Linked DNA regions of Oryctolagus cuniculus. The protein of the gene in region 2 interacts with the protein of the main gene of each other region in a pairwise test. Links are inferred from orthologs where the notes say so. Each region holds a gene or a part of one and is shown on either strand. Other genes may lie near its edges.

Evidence for each region.
Region 1: the proteins of KEAP1 (region 2) and ETF1 interact in binary tests that used the Homo sapiens proteins (3 or more experiments, as listed by UniProt). The two-hybrid records come from large-scale screens. The link is inferred for Oryctolagus cuniculus from reciprocal best matches to the Homo sapiens genes KEAP1 and ETF1.

The regions. Positions count from the first base shown.
Region 1 is NC_091437.1:26,284,661-26,292,081, reverse strand, and holds the end of ETF1 (eukaryotic peptide chain release factor subunit 1), read left to right. Parts: intron 1-415; coding exon 416-554; intron 555-874; coding exon 875-1,065; intron 1,066-1,824; coding exon 1,825-1,954; intron 1,955-2,491; coding exon 2,492-2,647; intron 2,648-3,272; coding exon 3,273-3,337; intron 3,338-4,102; coding exon 4,103-4,250; intron 4,251-4,483; coding exon 4,484-4,566; 3' UTR 4,567-5,428; downstream 5,429-7,421. UniProt on the Homo sapiens protein: Component of the eRF1-eRF3-GTP ternary complex, a ternary complex that mediates translation termination in response to the termination codons. The eRF1-eRF3-GTP complex binds to a stop codon in the ribosomal A-site.
Region 2 is NC_091447.1:66,948,828-66,956,908, reverse strand, and holds the start of KEAP1 (kelch-like ECH-associated protein 1), read right to left. Parts: upstream 4,764-8,081; 5' UTR 4,523-4,763; intron 4,345-4,522; exon of another isoform or gene 4,125-4,344; intron 3,872-4,124; exon of another isoform or gene 3,346-3,871; intron 2,919-3,345; exon of another isoform or gene 2,897-2,918; 5' UTR 2,850-2,896; coding exon 2,211-2,849; intron 1-2,210. UniProt on the Homo sapiens protein: Substrate-specific adapter of a BCR (BTB-CUL3-RBX1) E3 ubiquitin ligase complex that regulates the response to oxidative stress by targeting NFE2L2/NRF2 for ubiquitination.

The sequences.
Region 1 (7,421 bases), on a different chromosome or scaffold from region 2:
GCAAAATTAGCTACGTTTTTTGAGACTAATTTTTCAATGTATTGATATACCACTTATCTACTGTGCTTATCCATTTATCCATTGATAGAGGGGTTACTTCCAAATGAATAATGATATTGTAAACATGAGTATAGAAATATTTTTAAATCTGTATTGGTTTTGTGTTTACATACCTAGGTCAAGTGTATTGAAGGACTCCACATAGATAACCACTGGCTATTATGACATCAGTTAAAATTTGTCTATAAGGATTACATACCTACATCTGAAGTTTCTAAATTATCCCATTAAATCATTTTTTCCATAGCACTTATACCACAATGAGTGGAATAAAAGGGCTTATATGTGTCCTTCCAGGTTTTGACCTTAACAGAGCTTTGGAATTCATCATGTGGTACTTGTGTTTGCTTTTCAGGCTCTTACAGCACTACTTTCAGATGATAGCAAGTTTGGCTTCATTGTAATAGATGGTAGTGGTGCACTTTTTGGCACACTGCAGGGAAATACAAGAGAAGTCCTGCACAAATTCACTGTGGATCTCCCAAAGAAACACGGTAATATTGAAAGAGAACATGACCCTATTTGTCTTTTGCTTAACAATAAGGAAACCCAAATAGTATGATGGGGGGACAGGCGATCTAGGTAACAGAGAGGAAGTCATCCTGGACTTAGTGATAGATTTAGTAGTTAACTCTTTGAAAAAATAAGTAACAGTTTATGCTAGACCTTTTGTTCAAGGATGGTAAATTTTTTCCTTGTCCTTTCCTTGGATAATAGCATGCATGATTGTTTTTTATTTTATTGCTTTTTAAAATGCAAGGCCTTGTGTACTTCTTAATAATTGCCTTTTTCTCTCACTACTTTTGTGTCGAAGGTAGAGGAGGTCAGTCAGCCTTGCGTTTTGCCCGTTTAAGAATGGAAAAGCGACACAACTATGTTCGGAAAGTAGCAGAGACTGCTGTACAGCTGTTTATTTCTGGGGACAAAGTGAATGTGGCTGGTCTCGTTTTAGCTGGATCAGCTGACTTTAAAACTGAACTAAGTCAATCTGATATGTTTGACCAGGTAAGTGAGAAGTAGATAGTCCATGGTATATGTCTATGGGTATAGGTTGAGTCCTTTGTATGAGCACTGGGTACACCTACCTGTTTGAATTTACAATACCTTTCCTGGGTCAAAAACGTAGCTTTAAGATAAATGGTGGCGGGCTTATAGGTGTTTATTAGGAAACATTACCTACTTTTCTGGATCCTTCCTCTTTTGAAGTCAGCCATTTTTGAGTTGGGGTGCTATGGCATAATTGGTTTTAAAAAAGAATTTGACTTCACAGAAACTATAAACTTCTTTACTGTCTTATTCTGATTTATTCCTAAGGTAAATAAAGCAGCAAAATGACAGAGGTATTAAGTCTAAAACATTTAATCCAGAAGGATCTTCTGGTTCAAGATACAGGCTCAGCCATAACCTGTTCCCAAGGAGTTCTTATGGGAGAGGTAGCAATATAGTAGACAGTGTCACCAAAGATACCATCTTGTATTCTTAAGTGGCAGGAGCCAGTAGCTCCCCCTTTTGTTCCTAAGATACTTACTTTTGTGTACATTGAATGACTTATCCTACCGTAGGTTTAACATAATATGTCATATGAATGGCTATAAGTTTGCTCTGGCAACATTGCTCACTTTTGAGTTAGCCCTTGAATAAATAGGAATCCTCCATATTTAGACATTAGTGATTACAGTGTTAATCTTTGTATGTCATTAAGAGGTAAAGGAGTCTTGGTAAAGATGTTTTAAAGTAATAATGATTTTTTTTTAATTGTGTCAGAGGTTGCAATCAAAAGTTTTAAAATTAGTTGATATATCCTATGGCGGTGAAAATGGATTCAACCAAGCTATTGAGTTATCTACTGAGGTCCTCTCCAACGTGAAATTCATTCAAGAGAAGAAATTAATAGGTATCAATGAAATGCAGCTACTTATTATGTGTTTTTGTGTATTAAATGTGTATGGATGATATGTATGAAAGAAACACTGGAAAGGTAAAAAAGAAAAAAGATGAAGTATTTTGTTAAATCTTCTGCTTCTGTGGAATCATTATTTTTAATATTCAGTCATTAGGTCTAATAAGTGTGCTTAATTATATTCATATCCACAAGGGAAAACAATATACGTTCACCTTTCAGTATCTGAGGGGGGCTGGTGCTAGACCTTCTCCTTCTCTACCCTGATAACAAAATCTACAGATGCTCAAACCTCTTCTATAAAATGGCATAGTTTTTGTATGTGGTTGTTATGCTGTATTGTTTACGGAATAATGACAGGATTAAAAATCTGTACATGTTTGTTACATATTCAGGCCCAGCTATAAAGTACTTTTCAATGACAGCTTAACTGGTTCCCCCCACACACACATCTTTTTGATCTTGGGTTGGTTGAATCTGCTGATTAGAAATCCAGTTGTATGCTTTATTGACCTGTCACTAATACCACAGGACGATACTTTGATGAAATCAGTCAAGACACGGGCAAGTACTGTTTTGGAGTTGAAGATACGCTAAAAGCTTTGGAAATGGGAGCCGTAGAAATTCTAATAGTCTATGAAAATTTGGATATAATGAGATACGTTCTTCATTGCCAAGGCACAGAAGGTATGAGAATTAGAAAATAGGTTGCTGTTTGATACTGATCTGTGCATTCAAGAAGCCTGAGGGTGGAGATTGGAAAGGATGGCTGATCTCATGAGCAGTCAGAAGTCAGATCTACTCTTCTTTCTCCACTGCTTTGCTCATAGCACATACCTGTGTAAATTTTTCAGCTTGAACTGCTTAATGCCTGATTATATTTGCTGAAGAGCAGTCTCTGTGTTTTTGTTGTTCTTACTTGCTAAAGAGAGCTCTCATCTGTTCGTTCATTCCCCAAATGCCCAAATGGGTTGGTGATGGGGACCTAAGTATTTGAGCCATCACTTGCTGTCTATCAGGATGCACATTGTCAGGAAATACAAACCCAGAGCAGAGCCAAAACTGGAACTCAAGCAACCATTGGGCCAGACCACTCACCTGAGGGTCAGTTTTAATGTCTTTGATTTTTTTTTTTTTTTTTAATGGTGGGAGCAATTTACCTGCTTGACACTCAGTGAATGCTGGTGGAAAGGAAGTTTATAGAATGAATTTAGAAGCCTTTTCCTTATCCAACTGGCCTCATTTTGTAGGACTTAACCCCATTAGTATTTGACAACCAGTTTAACACATTGTTTTCCTCTTAATACTACAGAGGAGAAAATTCTTTACCTAACTCCAGAACAAGAGAAGGATAAATCTCATTTCACAGACAAAGAGGTATGTGGTTGTTTTCTTGGTTTGGTATACACGCAAGGAAACATGATTGTGTGTTAGAGCTCGGGCAGTTACAATGTCAGCCTTGGGAAATCAAACCACATTCCGCTTGAGGAGTTCAGTGGGGATTTTTTTTCTTAAAGTAGTTAAGCACTAAGGAGAACTTTCCCCTATCCTTGAAATAATAGAGAGGAAGATTTTATTTGAGTATGCCTCTCGCGCTCTGAAACCTGTGCTGCTTTGTTTCACTTACTTTATTAGCTGCTCCACCACAACAGCATCTTTGGGCTTGGTCTAAATGTGTCATGACATTTAATTTAAAGTGTCACCTTACCACAAGATGACTTTTAAGTGGTAGCTTCCTCAAACTCTGAGTTGTTGGACTTTGTTCTTTAAGAGCCGCTCCCAACAGCAGTTCTGGCACATCTCTTCTGGTCTGCTGAATGGCTGCCACAGAGACGCTGCAGCAGCCTGACTTCCAGAGTCAGCAGGAGTCATAAAAGTCAAAACCACTCAGTGTCTGTTGACATCTCATGACTGAGGCTTGAGCCCAAGGAGAAGGAGTATTTAAAATAATCCCACAGTTTCTCTGCAGTCTGCATTATGTTATTAGAAACCAGAATTCACTTTGTTTTATAGGAGTGCACGTGCGCACACACATGATAATGAGTGACAGCACCGAATGATGGTAGGCAAGAGAAGTGAGGGGGTGAGGCCTGCTATGTCCTAACCACTTGGTTTTTGCTGTCTTCTGGTGAATCCCTGTAGACAGGACAGGAACATGAGCTGATTGAGAGCATGCCCCTGTTGGAATGGTTTGCTAACAACTATAAAAAATTTGGAGCTACATTGGAAATTGTCACAGATAAGTCACAAGAAGGATCCCAGTTTGTGAAAGGATTTGGTGGAATTGGAGGTGAGTAGCGTATCAACAAAGTGAACTTAAAAACAGGGTCTCAGGCCAAGGCCTATGCTGACTAGCCTAAAATAAATTACTTCAGATTAGCTGTGCTCATTGGCTACTGAGGCAGGTGGTTGGGACAGCAGATGGTTACACAATCTTTGATTTGGACCAGTTTTTATCATCTCTTTGCTTTTCTATAATTGTGTAAGAGAACTGGACTTTATATTTGTGGTTTCTTTCTCCAGGTATCTTGCGGTACCGAGTAGATTTCCAGGGAATGGAATATCAAGGAGGAGACGATGAATTTTTTGACCTTGATGACTACTAGGTAGTCGACATGGGTCCGGCAAAACGTGCCTCGCCCTCCAGCATCCAACCCAAGGAGCATACCCGTGGTGGAATCCAAACAGATCCCTGCCTTACAATTGGAACATTTCCAGAACTTAATCCATGAGCATTGGATATTGAAAAGAAAACCGAAACAAAACCAGGCCCAACCCTACACTTTGGTTTGTCATGGTGTCAGCGCAGCAGCCTACAACTAAGTTCCTAAATGCCACTTTGGACTAATTTAAAAAAGAATCCCAATTTTTACTTTTACTCGATGGTGAAATTGGTTGCTCTTGTATTTTATGAAAAAATGATTTTTTTAACCTTCATACATAGAAGCAAAAATACTTTAACTGCTGTAAACCTTCAAAAGTTAATAGAAGTGAGATCATACTGGTTTGTTTCTTATTTTGATTGGAGAAAAATTAAATTGCTGCATTTCGCAGTGACCCATTTACATGGCATTCTCAGCTTAGACTGCATAAGAAGAAATATATGTGGTGAAATGTTGGAACCATTTCTCTCTTGGTCTCTGTTTAATGTTGAAAGGGTGAGCTAATAGGAGGCAATGTCATCTTCACTCCCTCACACTCTCCCTTCCCCTACAGACTGTCAATTTCAAGGATGCAAACTGCATTGCAAGGTCAAACTGACTCAAGAAGCATCTGGGCCAGTGCACTGTTTACTTCCATGTGTTTGGCAGCCACGTTTGGGCACAGCATTTGGGAGCCCTTTGTATCAGTTGCTTTGACAAAGGTCCCCTAATCCTAGCCTATTAGAAACCAGTTGGAGATGGATATGATGGGGCTTCTGTGCTGTTGCTGGGATTGGGAGAAATAAAACATGCAATTTCAGTGGAAGCAAAGAAATTTAAAGTTTATTTGCTTGGGTCTATCCTTGGTAAAAGGGAGGTGGTTGTGTTTTCCTTATGTTGGATGGCATGAGATTATGTGAATGTTTTGATTTTTTTTAAATGAACTGCAAGATTTTTCACAGGAACGACAGACAAAACATGTTTGACTGTGCATGTAATTATAAGCCCCTGACCTCCTGGTGGGGTTGGAGCATCTGTTTCAAATGTGGGACTTTACAAGCACCTCTCACAGGAGAAATTATGGGAGTGGGGCGGGTAGGGCAGGGGCGGGGAAGGGATGGGACACAGCTTCTGGCACCATGGACTTTACCATGTTGAATCCAAAAATTGACCTGAAAACCTGAAGCATGTGCTTCACAGCTGGGCCGTCCTTAGGATGTGAACCCAGCTGATAAGCAAGGTCATGGCGTGCTCGAGGTGACAGTGAACAAAATGAATAGGATGTGCCCAGTAGCAGCAATGGAAAAAAGTGTACCAAATGGGCTTTGAAGGACCAAAGGTTTTAAAAGTCAATTGGTATCACTCTCACACCTGGTTAGGGTCATGGGGTGCATTTGGTTTTTCAAATTGGGTACTTTTAACACTATAGTGCCTGACTGCTGTTCTTCACTGACTTGACTCAGTCACTTGTAGCTTTACTGGTCTGAACCAGCTCTTTGTTCCCAGGTTACAGACCTGCCTATCGTTCCAATAATCCTGTTTCACTTGAATGAAGGGAGTATGTCTTAAATGTAAAGCTTGTGGTTCTCACACTGTACTCAGAGGTCCAAATGACTGTCTGTCGATGCGTAACCTGTTGTCTCAACCCCCAGCGAGAAGAGTCAACTCTTTGCTGTTCACCAGCGTGGGAGGCTTCACCGGCTTTTGCTTTGGGCTCTGCTGTTTGTTTGCAGAATACCCAAGAGCAAGCAAACATGCTCTCTTCACAGCAGTACCTTAGGGTTTTGCCATTGTAAATGGGTCTAATGTGATATGACAAGACCAGAGAAATTGGATGTAAATTTACATTTTTAAATATGCTTGTTGTTTCACATGATACATTTAGGGTATGCAGCTCCTTTTGTAGTTTTTATTTTTACTATTTAAGTTTGGAAATGATGCCAAATTTTGTATTTCTTTAATCAATGTGTTCTCTTCAGTGATATATATTGCATTATATATTGATGTGTGTATCAATATATACTGATATGTATTACACTTACACTTACAAACACAGAAATAAGAGGGGGTGAAAACCGTAGCCTTTGCATTCTCTATAGCCTCTGCAGAGAGATCCTAAGCAGCAAAATCTTGGTGTTGTGATGTACAGAAATGGAGAAGAGTATTAAACCATATTTAAGAATACACTTTGTGTGCTTGAGATTTTTTAGGACTGTTCCTAGAAAAGGTCTGAGGTTCCTAGAAAAGTATGAGTTCTCCGAGGCATTTGTCAGATCAGTGGTGGCTAGTAACTTCCCAGCCTTAGATCTGAGTTTTCCATACACTGCCCATGGAAGGGCATATGCAAATGACATCTGAGGTCATGATCTCAAGATTACCCTAGAGAAGGGAGCTTCAACTTGATTGTATCCCACTTCCCTCCTTTCCATTTGTCAAAGGGGAACTATTTCCCCCACTTTCAAGTATGTTGTCTCATAACTAAACATCCCCTGCAGGGAGGTGTTATGCCCCATTCTATAGATCAACTAAAAGAGCTTTAAGTCACAGCCTGCCAGTGGTGATACCAAAATTTCACCCCAGGCTTAACTGCAAAATTGATGCTCTTTCTGCATCTGTTTGTCTTTGCGCCCTATAATAGAGTGGTCCAGATGGAAGAGCCGAGAAACTAGGCTAGGCCCTTTCCCTCCCACTCTGCCTCAGCACTGCATACCTCATATTGGGTAGCAGAGTAATCTGAGAGCAAGTCGGGTTGGCCCGAGGAGTGGGGGCCCTTGGTTCAGGTTAGGAGCAGAAGAGGGATTGCTGTGTTAATTTTCCCG
Region 2 (8,081 bases):
CCAAATGGCCACTACAGCCAGTGCACTGCACCGATCCAAAGCCAGGAGCCAGGTGCTTCTCCTGGTCTCCCATGGAGTGCAGGGCCCAAGCACCTGGGCCATCCTCCACTGCACTCCCTGGACACAGCAGAGAGCTGGCCTGGAAGAGGGGCAACCGGGACAGAATCCGGCACCTCGACCGGGACTAGAACCCGGTGTGCCAGCGCCACAAGGTGGAGGATTAGCCTAGTGAGCAGCGGCGCCAGCCTGGTCCCATGACTTTTTAGCGGTGACCTTGGGAAAACTTCTGAAACGCCCTCAGGCCTTATTTGTTCTCCTCTGTGAAATGGGGATTGCATGAGTAGCCAAGTCAGGGCCCAGACAAATCAGGGCACCTGTTTTTATGAACACTTTTGTTTCTGGTAACCCAGGCTCACGCAGTCCCAAGGAAGAAACACAGTACAGTTGAATGGGAGGCACCTGCTTACTGGCCCACCCTGTGGACGCCAAGAACCCCAGAGCTAATTCTCCTTGGGGTTATCTGGCCAACCCCGCGTGTAACGGAGTGCAGGAGAGAAAACAAGACCAGGGTAGAGGCCCCCCAACCAGTCCCAGGCGCCAGAAGAAGACGTAGAGAATGTCTGGGATGCATTCTCCAAGGCCGGGGACTCCCTCAGACCTGGGGCCAGGGACACAGCCCTGCTTGCGCAGCCACGCGCCACACTTCCTCCCAGGACGGCTGGGCTGAGTCAGTGAGCCACAGCGGGGCAGTCACGCAGACCATGCGCTGAGCACCTCACCCCAAGTGCTTAGGAAGAGAAGTGCTGGCCGGGAGGGCACAGCACTGGGACCCAGCAGGTTAACGCAGGCGTCCCAGACAAGCAGGTCCCATCTGGCTCCCTGCAAATGCGCCTGGGAAAGCAGCAGGGGATGGGCCAAGTGTTGGGCCCCTGTACCCACGTGGGAGACCCGGATGGAGCTCCTGGTTCCTGGCTTTGGCCTGGTCCAGCCCTGGCCGTTGGGGCCATTTGGGGAGTGAAGCAGTGGACAAAAGATCACTCTCCTCTCTCTCTCTCTCTTCTCTCTGTAACTCTCCATTTCAAGTAAATAATGTAAAATTTTTAAGTGTTTGAGATTTGGATTCTTTTGTGGGTTTTGGGATATCTGCGTGTACACAGCAAGGAAACTTAGGGATGGGACCCGCGTGTGAACACCAAATTCGCTTATACAGGTGTTCTTCCAAAAGTTTGGGGGGGGGGCTGGGTTTAAAAGATAAGCTTATTTTGGTGCAAAAATATTTTGAAATCGGGGCCGGTGCCGTGGCTCACTTGGTTAATCCTCTGCCTGCGGCGCCAGCATCCCATATGGGTGCCGGGTTGTAGTCCTGGTTGCCCCTCTTCCAGTCCAGCTCTCTGCTGTGGCCTGGGAGGGCAATGGAGGATGGCCCAAGTGCTTGGGCCCTGCACTTGGCTCCTGGCTTCGGATCGGCGCAGCGCTCCTGGCGCATAGTGACCATTTGGGGGTGAACCAACGGAAGGAAGACCTTTCTCTCTGTCTCTCTCTCTCACTAACTCTACCTGTCAAATAAAAAAAAAATATTTTGAAATCCATGCCCGGTTTTTCCCTAACACGTATCCCTGTGACGTTCTGGGAGACTCCTGGGTACACACAGGCCCTGAAGGTGACTTCATGCATGGTTTTTAGCGGAACTTCCCACTGGTGGCATCGCGTCACTGCTCGGAAAAGTTTCGGATTCTGGAGTGTTTTGAATCTGGAAAGTCAGATCATGGACATTCCGGCTGCGCCTGGCATCCAAGAGATGCAACCTCAGAACTAGGGCTTAGGACAGTGCCTTTTGGAAAAAAAAATAATAATAACAAAACCCTTGAGTTATTTTCTCTTTGACAACTTCCTCCACGGAGAAACAAAAACGAAACCAAACCCTGCACGATAACAAGGTTGTGGGCACTAAAGAGAACAAGGACCAGGGTCAGGGCAGCCAGCAGCCTGTCTTCGCTGTCCTGGAAGGAACTGCTGACCAGCGCTTGGCCGTGGTCACGGTCACTGCCTTCTGCCCCTACCTTTGACCCCAGGGAAACCAGGGTCACTGTCCTGGTGGTCAGATGTGTGGCCAGGGCCCTCGATCCTCCCCGGCTCCCCCTTGGCGTCTCACGGGGATCACGCCCTGGGGCGCGCCCCTCCGTGCCAAGCCCTCCCGCCTCCCGGCTCACCTCCCCGAAGTGCATGTAGATGTACTCGCGGGCGCGCTGGTGCAGCTCGGCGCAGCCGATCTGCTCGGCGAAGTTGGCGATGCCGATGGCGTTGCTGGGGTCCAGCTGCTGCACCAGGAAGTCGCTGCAGGCGCGGACGACGCTGTCGATCTGGTACATGACGGCACCGTTCATGACGTGCAGCACGCACTTCTCGCCCATGGAGATGGACGCCGTGTAGGCGAACTCAATGAGCCGCTCCATGACCTGGGGGTGGATGCCCTCGATGGACACCACCTCCATGCCCTGCTCCCGCAGCCCGTTGGTGAACATGGCCTTGAAGACCGGGCTGGACGAGGCCAGCACCACCTTGTGGGCCATGAACTGGGCGGCCGGCGTGTCCTCGTACTTGACCTGCAGCGTGACGTCACACAGCTGCTGGCTGAGCCGCAGCTCATTCATGATCCCGAAGGCCTGCTTGGTGTGGTCCTCCAGCGTGTAGCTGAAGGTGCGGTTGCCATGCTGGGAGGGCGTCACCTCGGCCTTGCACTCGGTGGAGGCGAACATCATGGCGTCCCCCGCCCCCTCGGGGCGCTGTGACTGCTGGGGCAGGAATCGGCTGCAGGCCTCCGCCCCGCTAGGCTCGGCTTCCGGCTGCATGAGGTTCCAAGTGACAAGGGATCACGCCGCCACGGACACTCAGGGGCCTGGAGGAGGGAGAGCACAGGGCTGGGGGCAGGGCAGGGGTCAGGCCAGCACCTGCCAGGCCCTCTTTCGTAAGACAGAGCCATTCCCAAAGCAAACCTGGTGAGGTGGGGTCCGGTGGAGCTCCCCACCTTCTCCTGGCCGTGCCCACCCAGGGGTCCACCCAGATCCTGCCCCCACCCCCAAAACCACACAGGACCCCTCAACAGCTGGCAGGATAGTCAGCTCTTGTCCACCCACTTCTCTCCAGCTCACTCCATCCAGCCATCCAGCTACCTCCTCCCTTCCCCAGTCATGTCAAGTTCATTCTTTCGCTCAGCCCTGCAACATCTATTGAGCGCCTGCTGTGTCCCAGGCACTGTGGTGTCCTGGCCCACACCCCTCTGGGAAGGTGAGGTTGGCGCTGGGGCGCAGGGAGCAGCAAGGTCCGGTCAGGAGCTGAGAGACTCACAGAGGCTGAGGGCCAGGGCTTGAGTCACGTTTTGAAATCCGCGGCACCTGCAAGGCGCTCCCAAGCTCTGGGGCTCAGCCCAACGTCGCCTCGTTCTCGCCCCCCCCCCAAACTCCACCGCGGAGCTTCAAGGGGGCAGGGAGCCCCCTGCAGGCCAGCGCTGGGGCCACCCTCTCCTGTGTGTCCCCGCGTCCCGCCCGCGGCCTGGCACTGCGCAGGAGCCAGTGGCTGGCCGGCTGCCCACGCCACGGTGCCTGCCAGAGCCGCCCTCCTCCACCCTGCCCGGCGCGCCGCTCGGCCCCCTCTCCCCATGCGAGGCCCCGGGCTGGCCTCTGGATCTTTGGCCAATCGGTCAACGGTGCCCCTGGGCACCAAGCACTTCCCCCCCGCCGCGAAGCGACAAGTGGGGGACTGCGCATGCCCCGCCTGAGCCGCCACCAAGGCCTTGGAGAAGCGAGGAAGTGACCCCGCCGCGGCCTCTTGGCAGCCAAGGCCGCAGCGCGCACCCAGCCGTCGCCAACGCCCCGGGATCCCCGGGCTTTCGTCTGCGTGCGCTCCCCCCCTGCGTCTCACTCCCGGCTTCCGTGCCTCTCCGGCCGCCCCGGCAGTGGCGCCGTCCAACAAAACGATCGGACCCCGGCCGCGCCCTCCCGGGGCCTCCGGGAACTCGGAGGCGGCCCCAGGGCCCCGCGCTCCCATTCCCGCGGCCCCCGGCCATGGTCGCCGGGGCGCCCGAGGCCCGCGGCGCCCGCAGCCTGGGCACAGGCCGCCTCACTCACCCCGCCATGGTCGCGCTGCGGCTCCGCCTCCGCCGCCGGAGCCCGGGCGCCTCCATCGCTGCGCGCCGGGGGGAGGCGCGGAGCGCGCGTAGGTCACCATGACTAAGCAGAGCGCGGCGCCGGCCATGTCAGAATAAAAGTCCGCCACCCCCCCACCCCACGCTCGGTGCGCCGCGGCTCCTGGCCCCGGGCGGCGTGGACAGGCCCCAGGCCGCGCCCCCAACCCCCGCCCGCGGTCGCCGGGTTGCGCAGCCCCGGCGCAGCAGCGACCACAGCGCCAGCCACGGCGGGGCGGGGGATCGCGGCTCCGTTCGGCCGCGTGGGGCGTCGGAGCCCCGAGTTCGAGGCCCCGTTCCGCGCCCCGGGATTCGCCGCCACCCCTGCCGGGGTTCACTCACCTCCGTCCCACGGGGTGGGGAGGCACGGGGCACGATGGTGCCACCCGCGCGCCACGCTTCCGGGAAGCCCGAGGCGGGGTGGTGGGTGGGGAGCCGCGGCTCTGCGCGGGGTGGCTTCGGCCCTAACTTTGCTACTGGGGACCCGAGGGCGCCCCCGCCGCCTATGGGGGGGCCTCGGCTCCGGGGCGGCGTGGCCAGCGGGGTCGCAGACGTCGGGTGGGGGGTGGCCTCCGGACTCCCGGGAAGGAGGCGGGGAGAAGGCGCGGAGGGCGCGGCGGGGAAGGAGCTGCGATTCCCCGCCTCTTTCCCCGCAGGTGCCTTCGCGAGGGACCCGGCGTCCCGCAAGGGTGCAAGGCCGGCGGGGCGGGCAGGTCTCGCACCCCTCTCGCACCGTCCCTTCCATCTGGGCAGGTTTCGTCCCTGGGGCTGCTGTGCGCGACACCTGTTCTTCTTATCCACACAGTGCATGCCCGCTGGAGCCACCTGCCTAGCTGGGTTCCTGTTGTCTTTATTTTTCAGTTATGCATGGAACCCACCTGCGGGGATTCGAACCCCCGACCCGCCTGCTGCTAACTCTGCGCCCACAGAACCTTAGTTTCTTCCACGTTCCGTGATGGCGAGGACAAAAGCGCTATTGCTAATTTTTCTCGGCACGGTTGCTCTTGATGACATGAAGTTAACTTTTCAACAGACGCATTTCAAGTTTGAAAAGTGGACAGGCCGAGGAGATGTTTGTCTAAGAACAGGGTTGCTGGAGTCTCCGACGTGAAATCTGGGGGCTTTTGATGTTCGGGCTCTGGGTCTGGGGTTGAACCGGGCTGGGGTGGAGCGCTCCCCACACTGGGCTGTGTGAAGCTGCAGTTCCGGGAAGCTCCCGAGGGGGGCGCTCCAGCCGTGACTGTAACCCACAGCCTCTGACATCTCTCCAAACCAAACCTGCAGGCCCCGTGGGCCAGCCGTGCTGCCTGTAGAGATGTACCCAAGAGACATTCACAAGCGTGCAAAAAAGTGTTATGTGCACAGTCTTACTGCAATATGAGGTCTGTTGTGGCAAAGAATTGTAGCAACCTGCGTGATGCTCCGTGGGCTTGGTACGAAGTGGCAGGGGCTGGTGTTGGGGCACGTGGAAGTAAGCGCCATCTGGCACATCGGCAACCCATATCAGAGTGCCTGCGCTTCCAACCCACCTTCCTGCGACCAGTGTGGGAAGGCTGCAGGCGTGGCCCAAGGACTGGAGCCCCTGCCACCCACGGGAGAGACAAGGATGGAGTTCCTGACTCCTGGCTTCAGCCTGGCCCAGCGTGGATGTTGCGTCTGGAGAGTGACCCACATTAAGATGCCCGTGTCCACACTGCTGCACGTGGCTCCCCCTCCTCTTCCTCGTCCTCCTCCTCTTCTTCTTAAGATTTATTTATTTATTTGACGGCTGGTGCCGCGGCTCACTAGGCTAATCCTCCGCCTTGCGGCGCCGGCACACGGGGTTCTAGTCCCGGTCGGGGCGCCGGATTCTGTCCCGGTTGCTCCTCTTCCAGGCCAGCTCTCTGCTGTGGCCCGGGAGTGCAGTGGAGGATGGCCCAAGTGCTTGGGCCCTGTACCCCATGGGAGACCAGGAGAAGCACCTGGCTCCTGGCTTCAGATCAGCACAGCGCCGGCCGCAGCAGCCATTGGAGGGTGAACCAACGGCAAAGGAAGACCTTTCTCTCTGTCTCTCTCTCTCTCTCTCACTGTCCACTCTGCCTGTCAAAAAAAAAAAAAAAAAAAAAAAGATTGAAAAGATTGATTTATTTATTTGAAAGCCAGAGTAACAGAGAGACAGAAGTAGAGATCTTTCATCTGCTGGTTCATTCCCCAGATGGCGCCAACGGCCAGGGTCGAGCCAGGTCAAAGCCAGGAGCTTCATCCAGGTCTCCCATGTGGGTGGCAGGGGCCCAAGTACCTGGGCTGTCATCTGCTGCCTCCCAGGCCATCAGCAGGGAGCTGGAGTGGAAGTGGAGCAGCTGGGACTTGAACCGGTGCCACAGGGGATGCCAGCGTTGGCTCTGCCCCCTACCCCACAACGCCGGCCCCGTGGCTCCATCTTTGACCCCAGCTTCCTGCCAGTGTGGACCTTGGGAGACAGGAACTGAGTTCCTCCCGGCTTCCAGCTTCGGCATGGCCGGGTCCCAGCCGTTGTGGGCACTTGGGGAGTGAACCAGAGCATGGACGGTCTCTCTCCCTCTCTCTCCCTCTCTCTCTCTCTCCCTCTCTCTCCCATCCTCTCTCTCTCCCATCCTCTCTCTGCCTCTCAAACAAACAGATAAACATTTTAAAATACACAAAGTGGCATCGCGACAGACACCAGAGAGCTCGCTCCGCCTCGTGAGGGCGCAGTAGGAAGGCAGACGCCAGCCAGCCAAGCAGAGGGCCCTGACCGGAACACAGCCATGCCGGCACCCTGATCCGGGCCCATCCGGCTCCCAGATCCGAGAGGAATACATCTCTGTGGTCAAGCCACCCAGGTATGACATCTGTCTTGGCAAACCAAGCCGACCAGGGCGGGAACACAGTGCAGACGTGTGGCTGGGGGACAGTCCCCCGAGAGACGCTGAAGAGGAGTGAGCAAAGCGGAGGGCGCGGGTGAAGAAGACAGCAGGTGCATTTACATCTCGGCAGATTCAGCCACAGAACAGTTCTGGAAGTTTCTCTGGGAACCCCAACACTGATGTCCATTCAAAAGGGGAACTGGGTGCTTTTTAATTGTATGTTTAGATTTATTTTTATTTATTGGAAAGGCAGAGTGACAGATGGAGAGACAGAGAGAAAGAGAGATCTTCCACCTGTTGGTTCATTCTCCCAGTGCCCACAACAGCCGTGACTGGGCCAGGCCAAAACGAGGAGCCTGGAACTCCATCCGGGTCTCCCACATGAGTGGCAGGTGGCCAAGCACTTGGGCCGTCCTCTGCTGCTTCCCCAGGCACATTAGCAGGGGGCTGGAACAACCAGGACTTGAGCCAGCGCTCTGATAGGAGATGCTGGCTTTGCAGGCTCTGGAGTGGAGAGAGAGAGGTCTTCCATCCACTGGTTCACTCCCCGGATGGCTGCAACAGCCAGAGCTGGGCCAGGCGGAAGCCAGGAACCAGGGGCTCCATCCAAGGCTCCCACATGGGTGGCTGGCAGGGACCCAAGTATCGGGGCCCTCACCTGCTGCCCCCCAGGGTGTGGGTTCCCGGGAAGCTGCCATCAGAGGCAGCACAGTATTCAAACCCAGGCCGTGGGCAGCTATGTCACGCGGGGGTCCCACGTGTTGTCTTAACACCCGCCCCTCTGTGCGCTTTTTGTTTTTCATGAAAAAAAAAATCTAAACATCTCCCACCACCAAATAACCACACCACTGACTGGGGTGGCCTCGGGGGTCTCCCGGGAAGATTTGAGAACCCTTGATGCGGGCAGGAGTGCCAGGCAAAGGAGGGGATGTGGGCCAGTCCTGAGAGCGACCTGGGATCGCGGTCCCAGGCTGACAGCGTGGGTGTTCCGGAAATCAGGTCAGTGCCCGCTGAGTGTGGCCGCCAAGGGCAGTTCC